Linked DNA regions of Mytilus edulis. The protein of the gene in region 2 interacts with the protein of the main gene of each other region in a pairwise test. Links are inferred from orthologs where the notes say so. Each region holds a gene or a part of one and is shown on either strand. Other genes may lie near its edges.

Evidence for each region.
Region 1: the proteins of small nuclear ribonucleoprotein Sm D2 (region 2) and small nuclear ribonucleoprotein F interact in binary tests that used the Caenorhabditis elegans proteins (3 or more experiments, as listed by UniProt). The link is inferred for Mytilus edulis from reciprocal best matches to the Caenorhabditis elegans genes snr-4 and snr-5.

Annotation. Positions count from the first base shown.
Region 1 is NC_092344.1:16,047,431-16,058,703, reverse strand, and holds small nuclear ribonucleoprotein F, read right to left. Parts: upstream 6,747-11,273; 5' UTR 6,664-6,746; coding exon 6,658-6,663; intron 4,698-6,657; coding exon 4,572-4,697; intron 3,789-4,571; coding exon 3,724-3,788; intron 2,835-3,723; coding exon 2,768-2,834; 3' UTR 2,429-2,767; downstream 1-2,428. Other genes in the region: mediator of RNA polymerase II transcription subunit 20-like, read left to right, coding at 7,925-7,959, 10,532-10,674.
Region 2 is NC_092346.1:9,274,147-9,285,326, reverse strand, and holds small nuclear ribonucleoprotein Sm D2, read right to left. Parts: upstream 5,423-11,180; 5' UTR 5,289-5,422; coding exon 5,284-5,288; intron 3,017-5,283; coding exon 2,837-3,016; intron 2,497-2,836; coding exon 2,322-2,496; 3' UTR 1,934-2,321; downstream 1-1,933. Other genes in the region: peptidyl-prolyl cis-trans isomerase FKBP2-like, read left to right, coding at 9,347-9,514, 10,863-10,975. UniProt on the Caenorhabditis elegans protein: Plays a role in pre-mRNA splicing as a core component of the spliceosomal U1, U2, U4 and U5 small nuclear ribonucleoproteins (snRNPs), the building blocks of the spliceosome.

The DNA.
Region 1 (11,273 bases), on a different chromosome or scaffold from region 2:
AAATTTCTGGGCTGATAGATCTTGACCTAATGAACATTTTAACCCCATGTCAGATTTGCTCTAAATGCTTTCGTTTTTGAGATATAAGCCAAAAACTGCATTTGACCCCTATGTTCTATTTTAAGTAACGGCGGCCATGTTTTTTGACGGATCAAAAATCGAAGCAAACACTTTGTGCAGGATAATCTAAGGAACTATCATGCTAAGTTTCATCCAAATTTCATTCAGTAGTTTCAGAGGAGAAGATTTTTTAAAGTTAGCAAATATGATGAACAAATTGTGAAAAATTGTCATTAAAGGACATTTACCCCTTAAGGGGTCAATTGACAATTTTGGTCATATGAACCTATTTGTAGATCTTACTTTGCTGATCATTTTTGCTGTTTACAGTTTATCTTCATCTATAATAATATTCAAGATAATGACCAAAAACTGCAAAATTTCCTTAAAATTACCAATTAAGTGGCAGCAACCCAACAATGGTTTGTTTGATTCATCTGAAAATTTCTGGGCTGATAGATCTTGACCTAATGAACATTTTTACCCCATGTCAGATTTGCTCTAAATGCTTCCATTTTTGAGATATAAGCCAAAAACTGCATTTGACCCCTATGTTCTATTTTAAGTAACGGCGGCCATGTTTTTTGACGGATCAAAAATCGAAGCACACACTTTGTGCAGGATAATCTAAGGAACAATCATTTTAAGTTTCATTCAAATCCATTCAGTAGTTTCAGAGGAGAAGATGTTTGAAAAATTGTTAACGACGACAGATGACGACGACGGACGCCAAGTGATGAGAAAAGCTCACTTGGCCTTTTAGGCCAGGTGAGCTAAAAAGAAAATGTGATATGATTGCCAATGAAACAACTCTTCACATGAGACCAAAATGACACATAAATTAACAACTATAGGCCACCGTACGACCTTCAACAATGAGCAAAGCCCATACCGCAAAGTCAGCTATAAAAGGCTGAAATGAAATGAAATAACAATGTAAATCAATTTAAATGAGAAAACTACTGGCCTTATTTATTTACAAAAATGAACGAAATGGTATGGTTCATCAGACCAAAGACATATAATATTATGTATTGTATATTAAATAATTTGATCAGACTACGACTTCATTTTCATAGAATGCTGATAATTTTTAAGTTGATGTGATATTTGTAGTAAAATCTTCAAATTTCAGACTGACCATGAAACCAATAATCAGTAAAACAGACAAGAGACACTTCAGCATGTGAATTCTTATATTTTTTTTGTACCTTGACCTCATTTTCACGGTTTATTGGTCTGAAATTTTGTATTTTGGTTTTCCACTATAAGTAATAGGTCAACTATATTTGGTGTGGAATTGTCAAGTTTCTGTAGTAAAAAATCCTTTTGTAAGATACCACAATTAGTAGGTCAACTTTATTTGGAATGGTTGTAAGATGAACATGTCTGCCGTACAGGGTTTATCTGACTTTCACCTTAAATTATTGTTTTAAATATTAATTTTCCAAATGAAATCTGTTTCTCAGATACTATAAACAATTAGGTCCACTATATATTTGATGTACGGAATGATTGTTACTGTTAGTTGTACATGTCTGTCTGACAGTCTTCACCTGACCATGACCTCATGTTCATTGTTCATTTTTTTGGTCTGTTTCTTGTATACTTTAAGCAAGAGGTCAATCATAATTGGTGTATTCATTGTAAGTTTATTCTCATCCTAAAAATACACGAAATATTTGCCTCAGTTAAGCAAACAATAGTCAATCATAAAAACTTAGCCCTGTACAAATCTTAAGAACTTTTAACATTGTACCAATAATGATTGTCGTCACTGCCAGTTTATCTCTGGTTAAAAAAATTAATTTGAGCATACAGGAATCCCATCTTTGAGAAAATGTATGAAGGCAATCCTTTAACTTTGGTATCACCAGTCTTGAGAAATGAATAGTCTTATCCTATCTTTAAATCTTAACATTTTACCATTACATCAAAACTGTAAATTACGAGGAACTGGAAGAGTGATTGTCTGAAAACATGGACAAATAAAAGACTTGATAACAGAAACAGGGGTTGTGTAAAAGAGACAACAACTCAACCAAAGAGCAAAGATCAGCTGGCCCGAACAATAATGTATACTTAGTTCAGCAAATTGGACAACACACTTAACTCAAAACATAACCCATTTTGCACGCAGGAAAGACAAAGTAATGGAAAGGATATCAGATAGAGATGTCTTGGCTCTGGTTATAAATTAGGAAATACCTGCTTTTGTATACTTTTATCCTTCAAACAAGGCAAAACTTTATAAACTGCTATAAGGAAATATAAACTGGAAAAAGTGAGTAAACAAAAGTTAACATACAATTTTTAAAAATCATTTGATTAGAGCTACATATTCCTGGGCCTATAGAAAACTCTAATATACCACAACAAATTACTTTATTTGTTGTTAAAACAATATATGTACAACATAATAAAATCTTATAACCATGTATCATATGCGATGTTAATTGTTTTATGTTTGTTCCAAGTCTTGTCTGCCTTAGAGTAAATGAGATGATACAAAAAAGTATGAAGATGGCTTAGTTCCTGCTCAATAACCTTTGCATCCATGATTCACTTCACAATTTATAGAATACATACATTAACATGATATTCAAATGGAAATGATTAAAATGTTCAAAATTTATAAAAAGATGTGTCCATCAAAAGATGAGATGATAACAATAATGAATGAATGAGAGATGGTAAAATGGAGATCTTAGTCCTTCATTTCTCCTTCTTCATCTTCTTCTTCCACTCCTCTGATGTACAAAACATTGTTACATCTGAAACAGAAAAGTAACAGACATTATTTATCTAATATGTATAGTCATTCTAATAATTATGATTCAAACTTTCTTTTTGCTACACTTTGAATCTTTGTTATTTTTGTTTTTAATCTTGTTAAATTATTTTATCATACATGGCTGACATTTCATATTTGCCATCGTTTTCCCTTTGGATGAAACTAATTCATGAATTTTCTTTTTTTACATTTTTTGCCGGTAAGAAATTGATGTGTATCACACTTTCAAATATTTTATAATAATAATAATAAACATCTGGAAATTTATTGTTATAAATGAAAGGTGAACAAAGGAACAAAATTCCATTGAATTGTGCATAGTTTATTTGTCCATGGGCAATATTTTGAATAACAAAAAATATCTTTATAGAAAAAAGGTGGCCTTGAACAGCACTTCCAAGGCAATTTCAATATAATTCATATTTTCAAGGGGCATAACTTTTTTTAACATAAAAGGGGAATGTGAGTTAGTACACGAATGCCCCTTAAGTTTTGCAATTTTCAAAAGTTTTCAGATATAAACCTTTGATATAAGAACGAAAAAATCTGGGAAGAATTGTATATGTGAGAATGCTTTCAAGACTAGACAGATAGACATCTGGTATTTCTATGCTACTGCAAAAAGTGTTGTGTGCAGGGGACATAAAGTTAATAAAGATTAAGTATTCTTAGAAAATACATGAAACAAAGCTTAATACTTTTTTTAAATTACAAATTGACATATAGACTATCTTCAGTGTGCATTTAATTAAAACAATACTTGCACAACATTTCTTCCAAAACTGAAAGCTCAAAAAATTAATCTATTTGAAATATTTGCAGTAAAGTGAAAGGAAATTATACATTATTCTTTATAATTAATTAAATACCTGATTAGAACCTCTCCAAGATTGCCTGTCTGAATACCATCAATGAATTCTTCTGTGTTAGCAAGCTAGAAACATAAAATACACAAAGCTTTAGTAAAACTTATCACTTCACATTTCCTTGAAGCTAGATCTACTTATTTTTATCTACATGTACATGTATGAGATATTATAATTCACATCTTGAAAATATCATTACATGTAACTTTTATCAACAAGTTTATCAATAATTCCAAAAAAATGAAACATGAATACTATATAATATATAATAATATCTGATTTAGCATGTTTAAAGGGCACAGCCATTTTTTTTATTTTGTTGGTACGATTTTCATAAAAAAATCAAAGTTAAAACTTTCCACTTTTTATTACATGTATTATTGCCTGACTATTCTTAATTCATTTCACCTAAAATATAAATGACTATACATGTATCTGTGTAGAAGCATTTACCTCAAATATTAAGAATGTGCATTATTTATCATGTTTCAACATAAACAGACAGAAATGATCACACAAAAACTTTAGTCCTGCTTGTCTGTGTTTTAAGAAAAAATCTGTTGTGATTTCAAAAGAAAATTCATAAATAAAAGACAATCAAAATGGATCTTGAAATTTATTTGCACAACAAAAACCAAAGTAAACTAAACCACTCTTTATAGAGAGTGAATTTCCCTTTATTGTCATAATCATGAAATATATTATACTTAACCATTTTGGAATACAGTCACAATGTTTAAAAATAAAATATTTCATGATTATGACAATTTTTTTTCAAGGAGACAAAACTTAAAAGTACTGCAAGGCAAGTCTTCTACATAATGTTTATTGGTGTCTATAAATCAACTGACCTGTAAGTTCATGTAACCATCTACAGATACCAAGTAGCCTTTATATTCCATTCCCCATTTTAGCTTGACCATCACTGGTTTTCCTGTTAGTCCATTTAAAAATGGTTTCGGGTTCATAGGTAAAGCCTAAAAGTAAACAAAATAAAAAGTTAACAAATACACAAAATAGTGTTTATTATATCATACTAAATAAGTCATATAAACAAGTTTGTAGACAGTACATGTTTATAACATTACATGTATGTTCCATAACTTTTTCATCTCTTAACAATAAAAAGTATAATGTAATAAAAAAAAACAGTCAGCTAATTATTATCTTGCATGTACATGTACACAATGTAGGTCCTACATCAACTGACATTTCAAAGCCTTCTTTTGTCTAGATTTATAAAATTGGGTTTAGAACTGAAACTTTTATCTTCCACTGGAAATTCAAAATAGCATAGTTGAACTTTCTGTTTTAGGCTGTTAAGTACATTTATTGACAATTTCTGCAGGCAATTTGTGGTTAAACAAAATGCTCATTTTATAGACAGCTTTTGAATTCATTACATTTCCAGCAATAACTTCCGTTTTAGTAAACATTGTTCGAATGTTTATGGGCATCTTCACTTCCGTTACTATGTTGTGCAAGTGATATGATGCTACAATGTATATTGCACAAATTATTTGGCAAATCAAATTCTTATAATTGCTCAGTGAACAGAATTGCCCAAAATTGTCAAACAGGCTTATTTATAATACACAGTGTTCTAGCCAGGATTTGAAAAGGGTATGGTGCTACATGTAGTTCAAAAAGGGGCAATTTTACGTGTAACTGCCATTGAAAAAAGGGCAATTTTACATGTTAATTAATGTCACTGAAAAAAAGGCAATTATTTAAGCCTCATAATTAATTAGCACATAACTTTTACTATGCATTCTTGTAAATTCAAGTTTCAGTTAAAATGGAGTAATATATTTCAAATTCAATACTTTTGGCAAATTTTTCATGGTTGACTTCATAAATCTATGGTCATGATGCTGAGACCCTTTCAGGAAGCTGTTTCTTTCATATAACATGTATGTAGTTGCTGTTATATTACCAGTCTCACCAATGTATTAACAGATTTTGTGATTTTTTTATACTAGATTGCACTTGATAGATCAGTTAATGGAAGTAAAGATATAATTTTCAAAATATTTAATTTTGAAGTGTATTCAAGTGAAAATAACTTAAAGAAATATTCTAATATGCATTTGCATTAAATTAATTTTTAATCCTTTTACAAAAAGAAACATAAATTTAAAGAATATAGTGTGAACAGGTGGAAAATAAGGGGAAGTAACTTATTTTGTTGATATACACAAATTATGTTGCATGACCTAAAGCTAAGATTATTTGTGTTAATTGACAATTATGTGTTTGACACCAAAGCTGTCAGAAGAAGCCATGCACTTAATGGGTTACTTAATTTGACAGTTTGCACAGGTAGCTGAACTTCTTGTTCATGGAAGATTTACAAATCAGCAGGTCGTCTGAGGGACAGCAGAAAAAAGGCACGGGCGTTGTGCCCTGTTCAAACTTTGTAGCTAGACCACTGATACACCATATCGCTATTTGTCCACCATTACTGGATATCACACAGGTTCCCATAAAATTTTGACGTCATAAACGAAATATCTGACGCCACAATGGATAAGTGATTGTGTACGATGTCAAAAGTTCAAGCCGTCGGGTCAGCCGGGATAATTTAGCGATAAGGTGTATAAACAGATAAACAGACATAGACTAATTCTTAGATTGACATATATTGGAAGATGGACCCATCACTGATAGTATCAGTATTTAGCTCTGCGTCATAAACTATTTTTTGTAGGTTTAAGTGATAAATTTAAATGAAATGCAAGATAATGGTGTAATGCATGTGTTATAGTAGTCTCAAAATGCATACACAAATAAAATGCGCTTTGTTATGACCTCCCCCTTTTTATATGACATCCTGGATTCCCTTTATTTAAAGCGGAATTTCATAGATTGGTCATTTTACAGAAAAGTAGGGTTAATCTAAGAACTGTGCATCGAAGATGATCAGTATATACGTACGGCCATCGTGTGTTTTCTTGTGTGATTCGATTAATAACAACAGCGTGGTCTATTCGTTTCGCCGCCGGTGGTTAATAAATAATAAGAAATTATTAACCCACAAAAAAACGAAACATTTTAATCAAAATTATTCTAAATTTTACACAATACATCAATTTTAGTGAAATTACATCAAAAGAAGCGATTTTAGTTAAATTAACTAGAATTTTATGAATTTAGTTACACATTAATATATGGTAAACTAAAATTCGTTTTGTTTGAAAACAATGAATAAATAAAATATTAAGTTATGTCCCTTGTTGTACAAAAATAATGAAATGGGAGTTGTGTGGTAATTGTTTGAAATAGGTTCAATGCATGAGCTTAAATGCACCTAACTCATTTTAAGAAATCGCAATCTGTATAGGTTAAAAAAAGTTCAAAGTCATTTCATATTGTAGAAGACTAAAAATAACTAGATTTCACTGTGCACTTTTTTTGGTCCTTGCTAAAGATAATGAAATTAACAAACTGTTGAGTTTCAGTTGATATGGTCCACTCAGTGACACAGTTTAAATCTACAATTATTGTCAGGTATCTATTGTCTCTCTGTTGTCCTTGTCAATGTACAGTCCTCTTCAAATCCAGGTTTTTGAAGAGCTAATACTGGTACTGAAAAAAATTTGATGTATGCCTTTTTGTGCTTCTTCGTTACATTTGTTGTTTTTAGTGATTAGGATGATAACACAATGTTGACTGCTGTACCCCTATTTTTTGACATTTTTACCTATTGTGTCTGTTTGTTTTGTTCATGCATCGGTGACAATATAATGGAATTTGATGCAACTGTCATACAAGTGAGAGGTTTAGCTAGCTATAAAACCAGGTTCAATCCACCATTTTCTACATTTGAAAATGCCTGTACCAAGTCAGGAATATGACAGTTCTTGTCCATTTGTTTATGATGCGTTTTGTTATTTGATTTTGCCATGTGCATGATGTGATTATGGACTTTCCGAATTGATTTTCCTCTGAGTTCAGTATTTTTTTTCCCATGAAATAAAATTTACTATTTAAAAAAATGTAGAATTATAGAAAATTGATGAAAATATGTATAAAACTTTTGCTTACTTTTTAAATTATAAAAAATATTGTATCTAATGGGATGCAGGTCGTTTTCTAACTGAGACGTTTGTAACCTTATAATTACAATATATTTATAATAGTGCGAGTCATAAGTAAATGGCCAGTGGAGCATATGAGTACTGACTTTAACAAGCTAAAGGACATGGCTCCAGTTGGTCGTCTACGAGTAGTTCTACGGTATGTTCAAAAACATTGAACAGTCGACAGTGGCCAAATGCAAGTTGGTGTGTGTTTATGCAATCCATCCCACCATTATTAACGACGTAGAGTGATGGCACAACAACCTTAACACCAAAGCTGTCATCGACAACCATTCATTCTATCTTTGACAAAAAAAAGGAGAAAATAATTATTTTTTTCAGCTTGTGTGCCATTTTTAATACTCTACTATTCACTTTATACCTCATTTTGTACCTACTGTTATTACTTTTTATTACCTGCCATTAGTTGTCCTTAAACCATTAAAGTTGTCACCGAGCATAATTACTAATTAGTTTTAATTGAAAATATTGTTATTATCAGGCCACACCAATTTGATTAATAGTTCTTTGGATTTTCCTGCTCCTGTTTTGGAGAAATTGACTTTTCAATGAAAAAAATAATTATCTCTTCTGCAAATTTTTGGGCCGCATGCCGCTCCAAAATTAGTTTATCATTGACATTTTTTTGTTTATCCTTGACATTTTTTTTTCTCATAGATGTTTTTCTTGTGCACATCCATCGATTCAAATGCACGTGTGATAAATAGATTTGTTAATAAAAGGTCAAAAATTAGGATGCCAACATGAAGTTGTGTCAGTTTATTGCAAAGGACAAGTACCATGAGTACAGAGATAATTTTAATGTGCGTATTGTTATGCGTTTACTTTACTACATTGGTTAGAGGTATAGGGGGAGGGTTGAGATCTCACAAACATGTTTAACCCCGCCGCATTTTTGCGCCTGTCCCAAGTCAGGAGCCTCTGGCCTTTGTTAGTCTTGTATTATTTTAATTTTAGTTTCTTGTGTACAATTTGGAAATTAGTATGGCGTTCATTATCACTGGACTAGTATATATTTGTTTAGGGGCCAGCTGAAGGACGCCTCCGGGTGCGGGAATTTCTCGCTACATTGAGGACCTGTTGGTGACCCTCTGCTGTTGTTTTTTATTTGGGCGGGTTGTTGTCTCTTTGACACATTCCCCATTTCCATTCTCAATTTTATAGAGTACCAGTAGTTATGGTATTAAACACACAGTTATTTGAAATGCATTTCGTTTTATTTATGAAGACCTGTTCTAGGAGATAAAATAAAAAATCTTTCGTTAGATGACCACGATCACATTTGTACTCGTTAGATCCATTGTCATCCCCAATCATTGTTTCAGCTGTTCAACAGACATAGTACGAGATCACTCTAACGTCCATCACACATACATCTAATTATATGCATAAGACATGGATCATGTTTTTCCTTTTTTTTCTTTGAAGTAACCCAGTTTGAACATGAAGATAAAGTTTTAAATTGCACAATTTAAAAAAACACATTTTACCGCTCACTCCACTTGTAGAGCACCTGCCTCATCAAAACTCAATTTCTTGAAATATATACAATCAAAAAAATTTCTCTTGCTTGCCCAATATTTTTTGGAGCTTTTGTCCTAAGAAGTACAAATCAAATTGGTGTGGCCTCAAATGAACATTTTGATCATTTTAAGAAAATAATTGTTTAAATTAAACTATTAAATTGATTTAAACTAACAATTTATAACCATATATAATTACACCAGGTACGAAACGCCTCAGTTACAAATCAACGTAGTTACGAATCAACCAGGTATAAAACGACCAGGTTACGAAAAAATTAGCATTCCTAAAAGTGGAAAGGGATTAATATTAGTTACAAAACTTGTTTTCCAATCCACTATAAATAGATATGTTTAAACGAATTAGCATTCCTGTAATTATGTTTTCATGATGTCACAATTCCTCACATTAATGGTGAAAATCAAAATCTCAAAGATATCTTTCTATTTTTCTGTTTCATATATATTTTGGTCAAAGGGTATGGCCAGTGTTTAAAATGCAGTTTAACAGCAAATTTGAAGGAAAAGGAGAGAATATAACCTTTGTTTGTTTGTATGTCCATACATCCCAAAATTGGTTTCTGTTATCTGAATTTAGTTTTCATCAACCAAATGTTATGAAACTTGTATACACTATACACAATGGTTATTACAACAAAACACAGAGCAATTTTAAATTTTGGTGGTGTTACCTTTACTGTTCAAGAGTTATGCCCCCTTACCATTGAAAATATTGCTGAATTTGTCTTTCTCTAACTTAAGTTTTCCTTTACCAAATGTTATGAAACTTATACACAATGTTTATTACCACAAAACTCAGATCAAGTACAGGTTTGGGTGACTTGAGATCACTTCTTTACTGTTCTTGAGTTATGTCCCTTTATCATGTTTATAATGTCACAAGTAAGTGAAGGCATAATCTGTGTCCCTTGGATACGTTCCCAATTTTTTTATTTTTTTAAAGCATTCTAAACTTTTGAAAATATCTAGTTTATGTGTTATTTTTTTTTAATTTTGCACATTTAAGATTGCAAGTATTGGTAATTAGGTTACAATATATGTATATATGCTATTGTTTGAAATTAAGGGCCAAATTTTGGCTGTCTCTGTCCTATATTTTTCAGTTTCCTTTGATATCCCTTTTTGATAATCATATTCAACTTTGTTCTAATTTTGTCTTTGTAGTATTTTTAGCTATGCTGTGCCTGAGGGTAAGAGTGGACAACAAGCAGTTGATATGTTACAGAAAAATGTAGAATTACTAGGAGCTACAAGATCTGGAAACTTTTGTGTTGATTGTGAAACTTACCAGTCAAATTCACAGAATAGTAAGTTATACATTGTACAAAAAAAGTAATTGTTCCTTGAATCATTATTTATGTAAGGGGATCTTATTATAACATGGTTGACATATCTATCAAAGAAGACCACAGAATTTGTTTTTTTTTTGTTGTTGCAACAACTCTCCCATCCTTTTCCTCATTTATTACTCATCTTCAAATATGACCAGATGGTTATTTTTTGTAAGCAACATTATGATGTGTACTACTTGTATTACTAGGCTAGCAGAATTTGTCTATGGTACCCTTTGGATTACCTGGAGTTACCTTTTTTAAATAGTTTCATGTTTCTCAATCTCAAAAAAGTTACAATGTAAGTGTCATTGTTCTCAACTAAAAAATATTTATTGATATTCACTTGTTTTCATTGATAGACCAAAATAAAAAATCTTATTACACTGTAGCAGTCAGCGGAATCTAGAGTGCTCATGCTTATAATCAACCAATATTAAATGACAGCTTATCAGCACATTTCACATACAAATAAAAAGGTGTAATTCAATTTAACAAATGTTACTGCAATAAGGTTCAAACAGTTAAACTTTAATGTGATATGACACAGAAAATGTTTACATGGTAGATGTCAC
Region 2 (11,180 bases):
ATCAAATTTTTGACATAATATGAGTTTCTAACACAAAACAAATGTCAAGATCTTACAAATTTAATGCGCAATAGTGTGCAATTAAAGATTTCTTCTTTTAACTTTTCATTTGAGAAATTTGATAAATAGAAATTGAAAACAACTACCAACCCCCCTTTTTTTGCAATTAGTCCAAAACCTGACATTTCTTGTACAAGTAGTGTAAGGGAGGTAAATCTGAACATATCAAACAATGTATGTTAAAAGTATTAGAATTACCTCCCTTACACTGCTTTTAAATTGTCATAATTGTCCATTGACCAGAAATACCTAGTTTTTCCCCTTTTTTGCCTCGAATTTCAAAATATTTTGAGCCATAACCCCCCAAAGTCAATACTAACCATCCCTCCATGGTATGTAAACTTGTGGTTTAATTTCAGAGAGATTCATACACTAAAACATAAGTTATTGTTTGAAAACTACAAAGATGATTATTTTGGGCCCCCTTTTTGGCTCCCAATTCCTAAACTATTGGAACCTTCTTGTAAAAATTTATAGAGATCCATACACTTAAACACAAGTTATTGTCTGTAAACTAGAAAAATGCTTGTTTATGGCCCCTTTTTGGTCCTAAATTCCTACACTGTTTGCCCAAAGAACCCCTTACAATAAATCCCAACCTTCTACTTATGGTATTTAAACATTGTGGTAAAATTTCAGAACAATTGAAATACTAATACACATCTTTTTGTCCTGTAACTAGATAAATGCTGTTTTTGGCCCCTTTGAACCCCTAATTCCTAAACCTTTGGGAGCATAAACCCCAAAATCAATCCCAAGCTTCCTTTTGTGGTTATAAACATTGTGTTAAAATTTTATTTATTTCTTTTTACTTATTCAAAAGTTATTATCCGGAAACAATCCATCTTCAGACGAAGACGACCACCAGAAACCAATATTCTACCAAATTTTTTTGCGGTCGTATAAAAAATGCATAAAAATTGCTTGTTGCAAATAACGGATATGGCTCCAACAACTTTGTTGAGGTGCCATAAAAAAGACAATATTAAAAATAACCTGTCTTTCATTGTCTAAGGCGGATCAAAGCTTTCAATGGAACTCCAAAAATCCAGTCTATCATCTGGAAACAAATTATGACCAACATGAGGATTCCAATATATCCCAAACTCTTGCAAACTCCTTGAGCAGGATAATGAAAAGTAAAATTGGTAACTAAGAAAAGAAAATGTCTAAATTACTATTTTTTTAGAAGGCATAATTTCAGAATGGCAAGGGCAACCTGGAATATAATCCATAACTTAGTTTTCAAATCATAATGTCAACTTTTTGAAATCCCTAGTCATGCTAGTTGGCTTGTACATTTTTTTAAGTTTTCAAAAACAAAGAAGCAAGACACACTGCCCAATTCAATTCATTATGCTTCATTTTCATGATGTCATTACTTATTACCAGTATGCTTGTACGATGGGTTATTTAAGTCAATGATGTTTATTCTACTACAAAAATGTATAGCAGTCCTTTGTTAATTCATGTACATGATGTCTTATTGTCATTTTGCTTAGTTTCTTTTGTTAACTATTCTGACATCAGACTAGGTCTTTTTTTGTATTGTGGTTTTACTGTGCATATTGCTGTTTGTTTATTATACATTGGCTAGTGATATAGGGGGAGGGGGAGATCTCACAAAATATGTTTAACCCTGCCTAAAGTCAGGAGCCTCTGGTCTTCGTTAGTCTTTTAATTTAGTATGACTTCCATTAGCACTGGACAAGTACACATTTTTGTTTAGGAGCCAGCTGAAGACAGACACTGGGTGTGGGTTTTTCTTGCTGTGTTGAATACCAATCTACTCTTTGGTCAGGTTGTCTCTTTGTGATATATTCTGCACTTCAATTCTCAATTTATATGTGTACTATAAATGTAAATAAATAACTTTCTCATGACAACATGTTTATTAGTATAAAATGAACATTTGCTAATGTACATATAAAATAATGACTTTGAATGAATGAAAATGACTGAATGTAAAAATTACTTTGTTTTAGACGTTTAGTTTGTGTCAGAATATCTAAATCATGATTGAACAAGTCATTTCTATTCAAATCTGATGCAACAAACCAAAACTATTTTGAACAAAGATCTTGTTTTGTTAAAAGATATTTAAGTCTTTTTAAGACTCCACGGTTTGAATTTGAAATTACCAGCCTATCGAGAGAGAACAAGTCTGACAGATAACATAGTAAATACACAATTCTGCATCTTTGCAGTCCTGTTTTTACAATACAAAATATTCTGATTTTCCATGGAACACCATTGTACATTTATTTGCTGGTAGCCATTGGATTCCTGAGAACCAAGATAACGGAATCTCCTCGTAAGAACATTTTTGAGATATATCTGTCTTTGTTCACTGGCTTGGATTTCTTCTTTCCTTTTCCTGTTTTAGGGGTCTCTGTCCACATTTCCTTCACATTTTCCAATACCATATTACAATGTCTGAAATAATCATAATAAACGAAATCAGATGGTGATGTGAGGCAGATGCTACATGATGAGATTCTTAAGGTTATTGGTATTTGGATTTCGCAGTTTGTTATTTATTTTCATCAATAAAAATATACAAATTTGCATGAAATTGGATGCTCCTTCAAAGTTGAAAAAAAAAATCAAAAAGAGGTTGCATCACTGTCATAATTGAAGAAAGGAATACAAACAATAATATAGATTACTATCACAACCCTCAATGATTTGTCTGTGACAGTTCGAATTAGTTTACAAATGCATGCAATGGGACATACATGTAAATGCAATGGTTCAGTCTTGCTGATATACCTACCTATCAAAAGCTTTCACTCTGGCCAATAATTTCTTGTTGTTTCTGCAGTTGATAAGGACTTGAGTGTTGTTCTTTACTGACTGGGTCAGTACAGACAGGGGACCGGTATTAAACTCTTCTTGTTCCCTACTGGACAACTCTTCTGGAGTCATCTCACTTTTGGGTTTTTGTAATAATGCACTGAAAAATAAAATAAAATATCAATTAACTATGAATTAAATCATGTTCATACAATATATAATGTTAATGCAGTTTAACTTAAATCTTTGTGATATCATTTATCAGGAATGGAATTAGTGGTACCATTTTATACAACTCTAGAACAGTTAAAGTGATGTCTACAAAATTCATATTTGATCTGTATTTTGTGGTAATATGCATTGTGTATGTTCTGGACCATATGAGTATTTGGACCATAAGCGTATGGTCATGACCATATGGGTATATACTCATATGGTCTGGGTAATTAACAGGTTTACTTTTAATACTTAACTCTTCATATAACCCTTCTGGTTAATTGTCACATCATTTAAAAAAGAAAGACACTACCAAAAGTCATTTTATTATAGATCAATTAAAAGATATTGATAACAAGATTAACTAAATAAAATAAGCAGTTTCACCCAGTAAATTTCATCATTAGTCAAAATTATTAGAAACACATTTTATACCACTGGTCATTACTGATACATTTTGTACATGTATGTTTTTATGAGTGAATGGTTAAATGCTGATTTGGGAGGAAAACGTCCAAAAATATCTGTTAGGCCAAAATTAAAAATATGTTTGTTTCCCCTCCCCCCACCCGGGTCAAAAAATTATTTTCCACAAAAAAATCGAAATTATTTTTTTTCCTGAAAATAATTTGTTTCCATTTTTGGAAAGTACTTGAAAGCAGAAGGTTTGATAATCTTAATAAATACACTCAAATTGAGCACAAACAACTGATAAGTGGCCTGGACTATACAAGTCAAACCATTCATGTGACCATGCTATGACAATCACATCCAGTTAAAAAAAAAAAAAAAAAAGAACCTGCCTTCCTGGTCTGTTTACAAAGGGTAGACCCGGGGGAGGGGAAACAGACATTCTTTTCAATGTGGCCTTACATAAGAAGTCAACCGTTTTACTATAAACTGATATAAAAGTGCAAGATAAAGAGTCTAATTACATGTATTTGCTTACAGTTTGAAACTTTTAAATTACCATTAACAGTTCAGAAATTTTTTTACTTATACATGTTTTTGTTTTTAAAAATGATTGACGTCACTGGAATGGACCCTAGTTTTTTTTAGTAATATCTGTGATGTGATGTTATTCAGTCATGTTATAATATTGGAGATCTAGAGCTTTTTAAAAACACTGTACACATAGGAACGACCCAGGACCCATAAAACATAATGGTTCTCTTAGGAAATGTGGGAGTTTTTGCAATTGAGATTTAAAAAAAACAAACTATTCAATGATTGATTATGTGGTGTGGAAAATTAACTCCCTTCTTTCAAGGATATTGTTTCATAAAAATGCTAATAAGAATTTCCTTTTTGTCTTTTTGAAACATACTAAATTCTATTCTGTATCTTAAAGCTAGAAATTACATTTAAAAAAGATTGAAACCAATCGTCGTTTAACGATGCCATAAGTTTGTTTTTTTTCATTTGGATTTTATATTACGAAAATTATTCTGCGCCATGTTTAAACTGGTGTTATTGAGCTCCGACTCATGAATAAAATTTTCTTAAAGTGATGGATTAACTATTTCTTTAACACAAGTAAGTATTTTTTTTAATAGTTTTCGTGCTTAAGTTATTTAAAATGATATTTGGCCCGTTAAATATTTGACATAGAAAGAAGATTTAAGCAATTTTGTTCCGAACCTGAAATGATGTCGGAAAGTGCTAAAAGAATTTAACATATCTCTATATGACTTCGCATTTAAAAAAAAATAAAAATGAAAATATCAGTATAAAAACGTTAAAAATTGAATAAAAATACGAAGTCATATGTTATAGGACTAGTGTCAACTGTGAATAGAAATTGTTTACATATTTGGTTACTTGTTCTTTGAAAATAAGTTGTTTCACTGGGAATTATTAACACATCTCATTTATAAACTAAAAGTGAAACAAGGAAGGCCCTTCTTGAGTTCTGTTCATTGGTTTGTTTACGCCAGATCCGGTAGTATTTTTTGTATTTCTAAAACAACTATATTAAATTCTCGACAATATTATCTTATTGTATGCTACACCATGTTTGTGTTAGGAAGTATGATGAGGATGGAGACCTTTAGTACAGTGAACCGTGCAAAAAAATATGTAAACAAACACTTGTGGTGGTCAATACAACACCAAAATCCGTGTAAATAAGGATGAGAATAACGAAAATTGAGATAAAAACAATAGGAAATATGCATGAATAAGTGATAAAGGATATTAAACTGTTCTTACGACATGATGATGAATTGATGCAAATAGATTATTTGCAGTTACAAAATATTTGGCTTGTGCCGCCGCTTTAACCGGAAGTTGATAGTAAAACGTTTGTACTGGTCCCCTATATGTAATTGCATGTGCTGGTTGAAAACACATAAGGAAACCAGATATAATTTTGGATATTTCTTGAAATCATCTTGGTGTTTTCCTGATCACAGAATCTTCATTGATAAGAAAGATCTAATACAACACTGATCAACTGACCGGCGAACGAAGTAAGATACGACACGTCAGTAATTACACAGCACAAACAAGACATGTAAGCAAAATTGTCTTCAAACGTTTGTACATTTGGGAAATTCTAAATTGATTGAAATGATGGCAAGAGTTAGAACGCTCAAAGTCTCAAGTGGCACTGTTGTCTGTTTGAGTTTTGAGTGTTGTTTACAGTCCACGAAAAACATTTAACTTTTTTTTTTTTTTTACTGTTTTAGCTTTATTACAACTTCAAGCACCGAAGGCGTTTATTTGCTATTTTTTTTTTACCTGGCTACGCTGCAGGACATTGAAGTTATATGAATAGTCTAATTTTTAGTGTTTTTTGATGAACTACAGTTGTAAATTGTAGTTATGCAGACCAACCAAATGCTGCATCAATACACTTTATCGCTATTTGTTTGCCATAACTGGACATTTAAAAGGTTCACGTAAAATTTCAACAAATACAAAATATCTGACATCATAATGGAAAAGTGCAAATGATTCTGTTTGATGACCCATATGTACATGTATTTAGAGTAGACAAAGGAAACAGTTTGTAGATTCATAAAAAAACCTGTGACAGAATGTTATTTTTCCATAATGCACCAATCCCCCCACCTGTTTCTCGTTTCATTGAAAATTTATAAGCCCATTATCAACTTAATAAAAACCTGGGAACTGCTTCTTCAATGTAACATACAAATTAACATCTTCATTGACATGAAAAGCATTGTTGTACAATTTTTGTGGGTTGATTATATAGGGAATCACTAAAGCATAACTGGAGCAAAGTAAGTAAGTAAGTAAGTAAAACTTTATTTGGATTCGGCATATTGACAAACAATACAAACATAAGCTCTAATGAGCTTTTCACCGAATATAAAAACATATGCAATAACAAATAAAACAAGGCATGCAGCATGCAATAAATAATAAGAAGCAGCACCAAAAATTAACTCTAAGCAAATAGATAATACATGTATCTTGCAAAATACCAAAACATATATATGAAGCACTAAAATTTTTAAAAATTTTCTGTTTAAAAATTAATTTTTAAATAATTTATGAATTATAAAGTAAAAAATTTCAAATCTTTCAAATTTTAAAAGGTAAAAAACAAAATTTCAGTTGCAACGCAGGCTGTTAATGCAGCATAAAAAGCATAAATATTGTAACACAAAGTTATCTACAGGCAGAGCAAAAACATTCTGTTCCACTCCAGGACTGTACAAGACTCTTAAAATGTGAGAAGCTGTTAACAGTCCTGAAGTGGTCAGGTAAGCTATTCCATAAAGTAGCAGCAGCAAAACTAAAAGATTTTTTTCCATATGAGGTAGTTCTTACCTGTGGTACATCCAAAATATTGCTGTATCTAAAAGAATATTTAGTGTGTTTAATTTTTATTAAATTTTGTAAACATACAGGAGCCAAATTATTTAAAATTTTATAAGTCTCAAGTGCCATTGTCCTGATGCGTCTTACTTGTAGGGTTGGAACCTTTGCATTCTCAAGAAGAGTTTCAGAGGATGATAAATAGTCGTCGTATACAAATCGTAATGCTCTCTCTTGTATTTTTTCAAGTTTTTTAGAATTTTTCTCTGTACAAAAATGCCAAGCCAAAGGGCAAAAATTAAAATTACTCAAAATAAAAGTATGAAAAATTGTAAGTTTATTTAATCTGTTTAAAAATGATCCAATTCTCTTGAGAACATTCAGCTGTTGTGATGCCTTTCTACACAAGTTACTTATATGTGCATCAAATTTTAGTTGGTAATCAATATCAATTCCAAGTAACTTTACTGTTTCTTCACATGATAAAATATTTTGCTGAATTTGTATAGATGGATTTTTTGCAAAGGTTCTTTTCCCTACAGCAATAACTTGGAATTTATCAGGGTTTGCCTGCATCTTATTTTCTTTAAACCAATCAATAAGCACTTGAGACTCAGATTCTAATGTTGATATGAGATGGTCATAATCCGGACTACTAAAAGACAGAGTATTGTCGTCCGCATAATTATATAATGTACCATGTTTAACAAAATAAAAAATATCATTTATGAAGATATTAAATAAAAGGGGCCCCAATATAGAACCTTGGGGTACCCCTTTTTGGATGTCAGCCCAGCTACTCAGAACACCGTTTACTTTAATTTGCTGTTTTCTATCAGAAAGATATGATTTTAATAAAGATACTGAATGTGGAGAAACACCATATGCTAGTAATTTATCTAGTAAAATTTCATGAGGTAAGCAGTCAAAAGCTTTTGATAAATCCATAAGAACTGCAGCTATATATAAGTTTTTGTCTAAAGCTTTACGCCAGTCTTCCAGTAATCTGAGCAACGTAGTCTGACATCCATGTCCTCTACGGAAAGCACATAAATAAGGGTTAAAAATGGAATCAAAGAAATCGTATAACTGTATTTCAAATATTTTTTCGTAAAATTTTGAAAAAATAGGTAACACACTGACTGGTCTGTAATTTGATTTAAGTAGTGGGTCACTCTTTTTATGCAAGGGTGTAACTTGGGCTTCTTTAAGTTTGTCTGGAAATATGCCCGTGTCCACAGTCAAATTTATAAGACTGGTTAGCTGAGGTGCAACGACAGATTTGCTAGCTTTAACTATTTTTGCTGGTATCCCATCTGCTCCAGTTGCTTTTTTGACATTAACTTTATTTATGATTTTTTCCACTTTTTCTGAAAAAAATCATAAATAAAGTTAATGTCAAAAAAGCAACTGGAGCAGATGGGATACCAGCAAAAATACATTGTAAGTCAGTCAGCGGAACCTCCCTTAATATGAAAAAATCTGGATCCACCACTGTGATGAAATATGATGAACACCAAAAGACATCTAGAGTACAACAAACTGTTTTTGATGGTAATTGCGTATTCCATAGACAAATGTTTGTACAAATGTACATACATGACATACATGTTTAGTACTGTACAATGTTTGTTGAGCTCAAACTAAAGATGATAAACCCTACAGCTAGCATGGCTAGTAAAGGTAGGATGAGAAAAAATTGAACACAATCAACCATCTTCAAACTTCAATTGGGGTCTCAATCTACTGCATCACCAGTCTGTCAGCAGTAATTTTTGTGAGATTTTGAACCCAGCACAAGACAGGTTCTTTGTACATCAATTTCAATAGACCACCTTCGAGTTCATCCGTCACCAGAAAAAACTTGTCAACCATGCCCGCCTTTATGACATCATTTACCAGATAGAGGGGATCACCTGTATCCCTGCACTATTTATGTTCATCAAGGTCTTGGTGATGGTCATTGTGCAAGATAAACTAGAAATAATGTTTGTTTTGTAAGTACTTTATCACAACTCCTGCATCATGCCATGACAGCAGTGCTGATTGTCAATTATGACAATTTAATTTGCAGAATAATTTGTGCAAAAATGCATTATAGTTTTCCAACCACTTGCTTAACATTGGAACAGATTACAGAAGTGACGATGCTCCTAAATGCACAAACAATGTTCAATAAAACCAGAGTTTTTGACCTAAATGTATCGAACTCGAAAGTTGTCTATTGACCAGTTATCCTATCAATTTTCTATTGTTTTCTCAGGGCACTCTAGATACTCCCACTTATACATGTTATATAAACTGGCCATCATGATTGAAATTACCAATAGTGCTGAAGTGGTTGTATAAAACAAATCATATAACCACCTATTATCACTCAATTACATATAATCAATCAAACTTATAAATGTTCCGTCATGAAAGAGAGGTTGTCATTTAGAATTATAAATTATAAATTTTAAATGTATGTGATTTCAAATTCAGAATGAAGATAAGCTGGGTTGTAAATGGTCTGTTGGTGCTGTTAATGGTTGTACAAGCTTGGGCTGGAGAAGAAGAAAAGAAGAAGAAATTACAGATTGGTGTGAAGAAGAGGGTAGACAACTGTACAGTCAAATCTAGAAAAGGAGATACACTTCACATGCATTATACTGTAAGTGTAATATGAGGCAGGCATTACCTGTGAATGGGGATGAAGTTTGTTTAAATTTATTTTTTTTGTAATTTAAATATTTGTTAAAAAAAAAAGATACGGAAATACCGTAACGTTTCCGATTTTGGTTCTGTTGTTAGGGATTTTACTTGTGACGTTATTTAAGTTATGACGTCATGTTCAATGTAAACAAAGAAACGCAATGCATCAGGTAGGCCTAACGTTTATTCATACCAAAGACAAAGAATGATTAAAAATGAAATATTGGTATTGTGTTCCTTGAGTTCCTATATTTTACTAGACTAATCAAAGTCTCACGACAACAAGACCGGAAGAAGGAAGTAGAGTTATGTGTTCTGCGCAGATCCGGAAATTAAAAAACATGACAAAAAAAAATTGAACGATTTTGAGTTCATTAGTACAATGAAAAATTCGGGAAATTTTCCCGATTTTTTTTTTTTTTTTTTTTTTTATTGAATTATTACTGTAATAGGGGACTTCGTCCCCATATAATACACATCTAAAAGAACAAAAATTATTACCAATGCATACGTCCTGAACATGTTTTATATACATCATGGTAACTTTGATAACTACAATGTATATTTACATTTATATATCATGTTACATGATATATAAATAGTTATCAAAGTTACCATGCTTATAATTTAATACGCCAGACGGGCCTTTGGTCTACATAAGACTCATCTGACAGTGACGCTCAGATCAAAATAAGCAAAAAATTAAAGAGCAATGAGGACCCAAACTTACAAATAATGGTGCCAAATACGGCTAAGGTAATCTTTGCATGGGATAAGAAAATCCTGTTTTTCGAAAAAATAAACAATTTCTTTATTATCATACATGTAAGTAGATACTCTACACATATACAGGGTTTGCTCACATTGTGTAATTGAAGGCATTTTAAAACAAAATAAACATGATAAACAGCTACCCATTTTTTCCTGTTTATGCAATGTATCATATACTATATCTGACTTTATACACTTTTTAAACACCCTATTTATCACTCAGTGTTGAATGTATAAAAATCAATTAAGATTTGACTACAAACTAAAGTAAAATAACAATAAAGAAAACTAATTTCCAAAAATAGTTTAAAAAAAATTACTAATGAAAATATGTATGTTGGCAGTACAGTGTATAGTAATATCATTCCAGTAATTAAAAGAACTTGATACATTAAAATATCATCTTTTTCCAAGGAGTTTTATTAGTTTCAATTTGCTCTTTCTATTTCTCTTTTTGTGGTCAAAATGGTGGTTCTACTTTTTTTTTGTCTTCATCAAAGCATGCATAGAAGTAGAAATGTTTTGATAAATTTCAGGGTAAATTAGAAGATGGTACAGAATTTGACAGCAGTATACCAAGGAAAGAACCATTTGTTTTTACATTAGGAGCTGGACAAGTTATTAAAGGATGGGATCAAGGTTTACTGGGGTAAGTTGTTAAAGGATTTAAATATCTTGACAAGAAAGGCTATCATTAAAGTTTTACAGGAATTAGTTGTACAGTATGGGGTTGATGCCTATTCATTGGGATAAGTTTTAAAAAGTTATATAAAGATTTACTGTAAAGCTTGGTATATTTTTTAATCAATGTTAGAATTAAAAGATAATTTGATAAGTCAGTGGATTAAATAAGG